2 linked regions of the Caenorhabditis elegans genome follow. The protein of the gene in region 2 purifies or fractionates together with the protein of the main gene of each other region. This does not show direct contact. Each region holds a gene or a part of one and is shown on either strand. Other genes may lie near its edges.

Region 1 (4,628 bases), 7.3 Mb from region 2:
GGCGTAGCAGGCATCACAAATAGTGTCCGATGGATGAATATTCGAGCACGCTGGACATGTCACAAGATTATCAATCGGTTGAAGAAGGCGTGTGAATGAGAACTTGCGAGTTACTTTCTTTGCTAAAAAATAAATTTTGAAAATCAGTTTTTTTACATAACATATAAACGTACGTTTGCTAGTTCTATACTTTGGAACTCCAAAAACAATACTAAAATCGTCAATCATTTCGCGAACACTTCCATATGTCATTGGCAAGTTTTGTGCAGTTGATGATGGATGTGCACCGACATCGCAAGCAAATCCAAATGAAGGAGGTGGTGATCGGTGACTGAAAACTCGCATCAGCGAGTCCATCGACAGCCGCAGGTTTATTATGATCCTTGCTCGAGCCTCATTCATTCTGAAAATAATTTTAAACTTCAAAGAGGAAGAAAAGCAGCGCTATAATCGATCTCGTAGTTAAATAAATTATGTTTTTTAAATGAAAAAAAAATTAAATATCAGAGAGCAATTGACTAAAACTAATAAATTCCAAAATTGAATTCCAGTTAGTTTCAGAGAAAAATAGAGTTTAAATATTAATGGGATTTTCAGTGTTTCCTTTTTTTACTTTTGGTAATACAAAATATATTGAATAAACATAAATATAACTAAAATGATTTCAAGAAAGTTTCTGAACTAAAAGAATTAAGAAAATCGTGCTCGTAATTTCTGACGCAGTTCGTGTGCAGGTAGTGTTTGCGGACATCGTAAAGCAAGTGTTTAGACAAATTACATTATTTTTGTAAAATTTAATAGAATCGTATATTTAGATGTTGCAATACAGTATTTATTCGAAAACTCATGGATTTCTATCACGATAGAATTGAAGATTATTTTTTAGACGATCTTTCTCTTTTAACACTACTTAATTCAGAAATAAAATCGGTGAAAAATACCAATTTTAAACAAAATATATTTTAAAAAGACTTGGTGAAATATGCAATTCATCCTTATAAAATTCATTCGGGTGTGGGAAAAAAGTGGACAGGGATCTCGATTTGAAAAGAGACGAGAAAATTCAAATAAAATACACACAAAATTATTTACGGAGACAGACACGTTCCAATGCATTGTTCAGAATAAATTAAAAAAGTGAGTGATCGGTTTAAAAATCGTCATCATCTTCGTCAGCCAGCTCTTTGGCGAATTCCAACTCTTGCTGCTCGCGTTCACGAGCTTGCTCAATAGTTTCAACAGCGATCTTCTTCTTTGGTGGATATCTGAGAGCTTTGACAGCTTGATTGTGCAATTCGAGGCAGTAACGGATACGAGTATCGAAGTGAGCTTGTGGCTCCGAAGTACGATAAATATCAGCTGTTTCTGAACTTTGCATGTACCGAGGTCCATCACGAACATCAGAAGTGATAACAGCATCGATTGCTCCATCGGCAATAGCCTTCGCCACCTGCAACAATTATAATAAACATAAAACTGTCAATATAAATTACTTACAATGTATTCAGTCTCTGTCTCGTTAGTAATATACAACTTCTTGGCAATATCCTTGATATAAATTCGGGAATACGCCAAAGAAATTTGCTTGATTGCAGTCTTGATGACGTTTTGACGCAGACGAACAATCAATGTGAGAGTATCATCAGCTTCAAACTGTGTTTTGAATTGCTCCAAATTATGATTAAAACGAGCAACATCTCCATCGCGAACGCCTCGACTGAGATCCAGGTAGTGAGCAAGACATTTGCGATAAATTGGTTGACGGAACACACTTCGATCAGGAATCTCTCCTTGTAGAAGACCAATGACAACAACCCACTTCTGAACAGCTTGTTTGAAGCCAATGGCACCTTCTTGTGGAGCTTTTCGCTGAGCTTGCAAGAAATATCCAGCCGCCGAATTGTAATCGAGTTGAAGAGCCTTTATACGTCCTTGATAGTACATGTAGCGGGCAAGATCATTGTTAGATGCATTGTCTGGGAATGCAACTTTGGAGACAAGATGAGCAGCTGATTGATATTGACGGTTGATCAAGTAGCAGCGAAGAAGCCAGCAAATCAGAACGGCTTGTGACTCGGAGAAATTACGGAGAGTTGCAGTACGGAGTCGAGAGTTCAAGAATCCCTGGTGATCGAAAAGACGTCCTTCTCGTTCGTAGATCACACAGAGGAAATAAAGGGTTTTTGCTGCGAGTCCATCCAGTGTACGCCGATCAAAGTTGTAAACTGAAAATTATACGTTTTGTTTGGGTTAAAATATGTTTTTTACTTGATGTGAGTTGATTCTCGCCGAGAGCAAGAGCTTCGGTATTCTTTTTTTGAGCATAAAGATGAAGCAAAACGAGAAGACGCAAGTAGCAATCTGATTCGGGAGATGCAAACACTGGTTTGACGCCTTTTTTTGGAGACTTTGTTTTGACATTCGAAGTATCCATTGGCTGAACTTCAGTATCAGCGGCGGGTGTGTAATGCAAATACTTCAACATTCCTTCGGCGAACTGAGCATCACTGCTTAAATGTGAAGACACGAGTTTGTAAAGAACGTTGTCATTGATCTGCTTGCGAGTTTTCGGCAATACTTGCAACACGCGAGTGATCAAATGTTCTTCTCCTTTGTCGAGAGCAGCTAATTGTTCTTTGATATCTAGAAAAGAAGGCAATCAAAACTTTAGTATTTCTGTATTTCACTTACTTTCAACTGCAATTGCGTTGAGATCTTTTGCTGGCTCGGTGGCTGGGACATCTTGCTTAGCTTCATCTACCTCCATTTTTTCAACGACGGTTTCTCCAGTTTTCGGAGCCATTTCCCTTTAAAATTTGAAAATAAAACGAGTGTCACTAGAATTTGAGCTTTTTTTCACGTAAAATAAAATAAATAAATAAAAACAAACACAACAGAACGTTAATAAAATGAAAAACGATGTTTGAAAAATGATGATTTTGAAAAATAAAAAATAATGCAAGTCTGCTCTGTAGAGAATTTTACATGGGTCTCGCAACGATGTACTAGACGTTTCTCGAATATTCGGTGTGCCTTTAAACACCATTATAAGGGAGTCAGCCTGAGACACGCCCTTTTCGGTCGTTTTTCGCTGTTTCACCTTTGTTTTCTTGCTCACTTTTTTTTTATTTGCTCGAAATTTCTAGAAAAATATTTGGTTTTTGTATAAATATACTTTCAAAGCTTCTTCAACCCATTTTGTCCGTTTTTAGCTGGTCTAAACTGTCTAAACTTTTATCTTTAATTTCAGCGCTCCTGCTATAAAGAATAATGTCGGTTCTTGGATTCGACATCGGTAACCTCAACTGCTACATTGGCGTTGCACGTCAAGGAGGCATTGAAGTTATCACCAATGACTATTCTCTGCATGCCACTCCGTAAGTGTAGTATTTCATAACATGAAATCTAAATATTTATTTCTCCAGAGCTTGCGTATCTTTTGGACCAAAAGATCGATCAATGGGGGTTGCAGCTCGGCAAGCAGTGACCACGAACATCAAGAACACTGTTATTAACTTCAAGCATTTGATTGGACGAAAATTCAGTGATCCTGTTGCGCAAAGATTCATTCCATTCATCCCGTGTAAAGTGGTTAAACTTCCAAATGATGACATCGGAGTTCAAGTCAGTTATCTTGGCGAACCTCACACTTTCACCCCAGAACAAGTTCTTGCTGCCCTTCTCACGAAGCTTCGTACTATTGTGGAATCTCAACTTTCTGACGTGAAGAAAGTTTCAGATTGCGTTCTTGCTGTAAGTGTTTGTTTAATATTTCTGAATAATATCAATTTATTTTAACTATAATTTTATCGAACAATTTAGACTTGAGAAATTGTTAGACAATCGTTTTAATTTTAGGTCCCGTCCTACTTCACTGATGTTCAACGACGCGCTGTTCTCTCAGCTATTCAATATGCCGGATTGAACTCTCTTCGCATCGTCAATGAAACAACTGCAATTGCTCTAGCCTACGGAATCTACAAGCAAGATCTCCCAGAGGAAGATGCCAAATCGCGCAACGTCGTGTTCCTTGATATCGGTCATTCGTCAACACAGGCTTCATTGGTTGCTTTCAATCGTGGAAAACTTCAGATGGTTAACACATCATACGATTTGGAGTCTGGTGGTATTTGGTTCGATGCTCTTATTCGAGAGCACTTCAGAAAAGAGTTCAAGACAAAATACGGTAAGGCCCAATGAAAGTAAATTGATAATTGAAGTTATTGCAGGAATTGATGCCGCAACATCTCCTCGTCCATGGCTACGTCTCTTGGACGAATGTGAGCGTGTGAAGAAGCAAATGTCAGCAAATCAAACTCCAATTCCACTGAACATTGAATGCTTTATGGAGGATAAGGATGTTACTGGAAAGATGCAACGTCAAGAATTTGAGGATCTTGCAGCTCCAATTTTCAACCGTATCAAGCAGGTTCTCATTAACTTGTTCGCAGACGGAGTGTCTATCAAGCCGGAAGAAATTGACGAGATCGAAATTGTCGGAGGATCTTCAAGAATTCCGATGATCAGAGAGATTGTCAAGGATCTTTTCGGAAAGGAACCGAAAACCACGATGAATCAAGACGAGGCTGTCGCTCGTGGAGCTGCCATGCAATGTGCAATTCTTTCTC
Region 2 (4,423 bases):
GATTCGAAACTTTGAATTCTTGGCTAAAAACATGCAAATTTTCGAATATTTGAGTGAAAAATTCAATTTTCAGCTGAAATTTTGGATTTGACGTGGAAAAATCATGCTTTTAGACGGAAATTCCAGATTTCTAGCTAAAAAAAGCAATTTTTCGAGCACATTTTGCATTTTCCAGTCAAAATTTAAGAATTTTCGGGTAAAAAATGCGGAAAAATCCGATTTTCACCGAATTTTCCAAGCTTTTCCACCCAAAACTGCTCAAAAATGCAAAAATTTTGGAATCTTCGCTCAATAACGCGGAAAATTCGAAAATATCCAAAATTTTTTGAATTTTTGGGTAAAAAATGCGGAAAATTTTGATTTTCACCGAATTTTCCAAGCTTTTCCACCCAAAAATGCTCCAAATCTGCAGGCTCCGAGGACGAGGAGAAAGATGTCGTCGAATACGTAGTTTTTGAGAATCATATTGCCGTAGTCGACGGAGAATGGAGGCTTCACGGTAAAATCTATCCGAAATGGATTGACGCGAAACAGGGAATGGTCGGTACACAGATGCTCAGCGCGGAGCAAGTCGAAAAGCAGCACGCTGAGGCAAAAGCTCTTCCGTTGAGAACTACTGAGAAGTTGGAGGAGGCGAAGAAGGAGAAGGAGCAGCAGGAGATTTGATGCACCATGTCGTTTTTTTTCGTTGTAGATTTATAGTAGTTTTTACACTGTTTTTGTTGGGAAAATCGTGAAAATTTGGAGTTTTTGAGCTAAAAATGAGCATTTTTGGGTTAAAAATGACCAATTTTCGATGTAAAATTCAATTTTGGAGCTAAAAATGAGCATTTTTGAGGCAAAATTGAGCTTTTTCGTCCTAAAAATAAGAATTTTGGCCTAAAATTGAGTATTTTTGACCTAAAAATGGCCAATTTTCGATATAAAATTCAATTTTTGACTTAAAAATGAGCATTTTTGAGCCAAAATTGAGTATTTTTTGACTTAAAATTTAGTAATTTTCAGTTAAAAATGTGTATTTTTAAACTGAAAATGAGCGTTTTTGACTTAAAACTGGCCATTTTTATGTGAAACTGAATTTTTCACCTTTTGAAAATTGAAAATCCCGAAAATTTCGCAATTTTTGACCTCAAATTTCGATTATTTTTGGCTTTAAATTCAATTTTCGAATATTTTATTAAAAATTCTGAATTTTTAGCCGAAATTTTCGAATTTTCGAGCTAAAATTTGGATTTCTAGCTGAAAAGTTGGAATTTCAATGGAAAATTCGAATTTTAAAACTAAATTTCCAGTTTTCTAGCTTAAAAATCAATTTTTGGAGCAAATTTTGCATTTTTCAAGTCAAAAACGCGCATTTTTCGAGTTTTGACGTTAAAATGTAAATTTTCGGCTTTAAAAATGGCAAATTTGCTCCAAAAATTGATTTTCAAGCTAGAAACCTGGAAATTTAGTTTAAAATTTTGAATTTTCTATTGAAATGCCAATTTTTCAGCTAGAAATTCAATTTTTGGCTCAAAAATTTGAATTTTCACTCAAATTTTCAATTCTTAACGTAAAATTTTAGTTTTTTATTCAAAAATCCATTTTTTTTTTGCCTAAAAATTTGGATTTTTCACGATTTTCCCTGCAAAAATGGTGTTTTATAGGATTTTTCTTTGTTATTTTATTGTTTTTATTTTTTTTATTTTCAAATTGTTTGTTTCAACGCAAAAATTATTCAGAAAAACTGTATTTTTTGTTCATTTTTCTATTTTTAACCGGTTTTTTGCCATTTCTACCTTTTTTATCCGATTTTTCAGCCTTTTAAGCCTATTTTCAGCCTATTTCCAGTCGAAATGTCATCTACCGCCGCCAAAAAAGACGTGAAAAGCTCGGCTGTTCCAGTCACTGCTGTCGTTGAGAAGAAGGAATTCGAGGAGGAAGAATTTGAGGAATTTCCGGTTCAGGTAGAGGAAAATGGCGAAAAAATTGTGAAAATTGACGGATTTTAAGCCGAAAAATCGGAATTTTTGGCTATTTTTAGCCAAAACATCGAAAAAAAAATTGGGAAAAATAAGAAAAATTTCGAAATTTCCCTTAAAAACCAAAAAAAAAAATCAATTTTTCACTGAAAAATACGCTATTTAAAAAAAATCGGTAAATTTGAAAATTTTGCAAATTTTCGGCCAAAAAAAAATCAGAAATTTTGATTTTTTGCGAACTTTTTGCCGAAAAATCGGAAAATTCAAAATTTGGCCAATTTTTTAACTAAAAAATCGGAATAATCGACTTTTAACCAATTTTTTGTCCAAAAAATTAGAAAATTGGAATTTTGGCCAATTTTTGGCCGAGTAATCGGAAAAATTGAATTTTTACCAATTTTTAAGGCAAAAAATCGTAAAAAAATTGATTTTTATCAAATTTTTTGTCCAAAAATTTTGAATTTGGCCCATTTTTTTAGTCAAAAAATTAGAAAATTTAAATTTTTACCAATTTTTTGACGGAAAAATCGGAACAGTTGAATTTTGATCAAATTTTTTGGCCAAAAAAAATGGCTGAAAATCCAAAAAAAAAAGTATAAAAATTTTCAGAATTTCCTCAAAAAAAATCGAAAAAAAAAATCCTATTTTCTCTGACAAACTCAGCGATTTTTTTTTAATTTTTTGTCTGAAAATTCCAAAAAATCGATAATTTCCTGTAAAAATTCGGGAAAATAGGTTTTTAGGCGAAATTAAAGTACCGAAATTTGGAATTTTGATGCAAATTTCAGAAAAATCGATATTTTTCCTTAAAAACTCGAATTTTCACTGAAAAATCCGCTATTTTATCCATTTTTTGTCGGAGAAATTCAAAAAATTCGAATTTTGGCTAAAAAATCCAATTTCTGACCAAAAAAGTCCAAAATTTTGAATTTTTATCTATTTTTAGCGGAAAAATGGCTGTCAAGAGAAAATGGAAGTCAAGAAAAATTGCAAAATATCAACAAAAAAATTACCAAACATTTCATAAAGTCTGGAATGTTTTCAAATTTTATTCAAAAAAAAATTCGAATTTTCCAAAAAATGTGAAATTTTTAATTTTGGGCAAAAAATCGAAAAATTTGGATTTTGACAAATTATTTGGTGAAAAATTCGGCAAATTCGAATTTTGACCAAATTTTTAGCCAAAAAATCGGAAAATTACAATTTTTACGAAAAAAATGGCTGAAAATCCAAAAAAAAAGTATAAAAATTTTCAGAATTTCCTCAAACAAAATATTTTTTAAAATTGAATTTTCTCTGAAAAATTCAAAAAAAAATCGATTTTTCTAAAAAAAAAATTTTGCAGGAATGGGCTGAGCGTGCCGAAGGAGAAGAGGATGATGTGAACGTTTGGGAGGATAATTGGGATGATGAGACTCATGAAAGCGAATTTTCGAAGCAATTGAAGGAGGAACTCCGCAAATCTGGACACCAAGTCGCCTAAATTTCCGATTTTTCGCCCATTTTTTTTTTGCTCTAAAAATTTCCGATTTTTCCCATTTTCTCCCGTTTTTCCCCAGTTTCGCCGTAAAAAATGCTCATTTTTGAGCATTTTTCCCCAATTTTTTGCGATTTTTTTCCTAATTTATTCTCCATCACAATTTTCCGCCGCTTTTCCTCATTTTTTACCCCTTTTTTTGTGAAAATTTTGGATTTTATCCATATTTCCTCCCTTCTGAAATGTAAAATGAACTCAATTTTTGCGGAAAAAATTATTTAAAATTTTTTTTTTTTGCGAAAAAGAGGTTCTCATCCATTTTTCATGTTTTTGAGTCCGAAAAAAAATTGAAAATTTTGAAAAAAAATTCAAATTTTCCGCCAAAAATGGATTTTTTTTCCTGAAAATTCGAAAAATTGCCGTATTTTTTGAATTTTTTGAAAAAAAGTGCTAAAACTTGGAGAATTTTTTTAAAAACTCGATTTCCAAAAATTTCCGGTTTTCGCGAATTTTTCTACTGAGAAAATCAAATTTTTGAAAAAATCCGATTAAAATTTAAAATTTACCGATTTTTTTCCAGAAAAATTGATTTTTTTTGACAAAAACCTCCAGAAACTGAAAAATTTTGAAAATTTCATTGAAAAATTCAAATTTCCCCCAAAAAAATTGATTTTTTCGAATTTTTCGCAAAAAAATTTGAAAATCCGATTTTTTCTCTGAAAATCTAAAAAATTTTACAAAGTTTTTGCCAAAAAAAAAAATGAAAAAATTTGTAAATTTTCAATAATTTCCAATTTTTTCCCATTTTTCTACGGAAAAATTCAAATTTTCGAAAAAATTCAAAATTTATCGATTTTTCAGCGCAATTCCTACACACACATATATGCTCCGTCTGCTGCTGCTGCTGAGCCGGCGGTGCTACAGTACCCCACCGCCACCGCCGGCGCCGTCAAAACTCCGAAATATCGGAGTTATTGCGCACGTT

What was found.
Region 1: the proteins of dss-1 (region 2) and rpn-3 purify together in Caenorhabditis elegans (affinity purification with western blotting, with the first as the bait; one study listed by BioGRID). This does not show direct contact.

Annotation. Positions count from the first base shown.
Region 1 is NC_003281.10:8,445,532-8,450,159, reverse strand, and holds rpn-3 (26S proteasome non-ATPase regulatory subunit 3), read right to left. Parts: upstream 2,808-4,628; 5' UTR 2,804-2,807; coding exon 2,692-2,803; intron 2,644-2,691; coding exon 2,269-2,643; intron 2,226-2,268; coding exon 1,498-2,225; intron 1,451-1,497; coding exon 1,151-1,450; 3' UTR 814-1,150; downstream 1-813. Other genes in the region: mrpl-32 (Large ribosomal subunit protein bL32m), read right to left, coding at 1-122, 174-402; hsp-110 (Heat shock protein 110), read left to right, coding at 3,271-3,377, 3,426-3,753, 3,859-4,186, 4,230-4,628. UniProt on the Caenorhabditis elegans protein: Acts as a regulatory subunit of the 26 proteasome which is involved in the ATP-dependent degradation of ubiquitinated proteins.
Region 2 is NC_003281.10:1,193,689-1,198,111, reverse strand, and holds dss-1 (putative 26S proteasome complex subunit dss-1), read left to right. Parts: upstream 1-1,819; 5' UTR 1,820-1,835; coding exon 1,836-1,946; intron 1,947-3,306; coding exon 3,307-3,444; 3' UTR 3,445-3,726; downstream 3,727-4,423. Other genes in the region: mrpl-45 (Large ribosomal subunit protein mL45), read left to right, coding at 413-666; Y119D3B.14 (Tr-type G domain-containing protein), read left to right, coding at 4,322-4,423. UniProt on the Caenorhabditis elegans protein: Subunit of the 26S proteasome which plays a role in ubiquitin-dependent proteolysis. Has an essential role in oogenesis and larval growth. Required for intestinal function and default lifespan.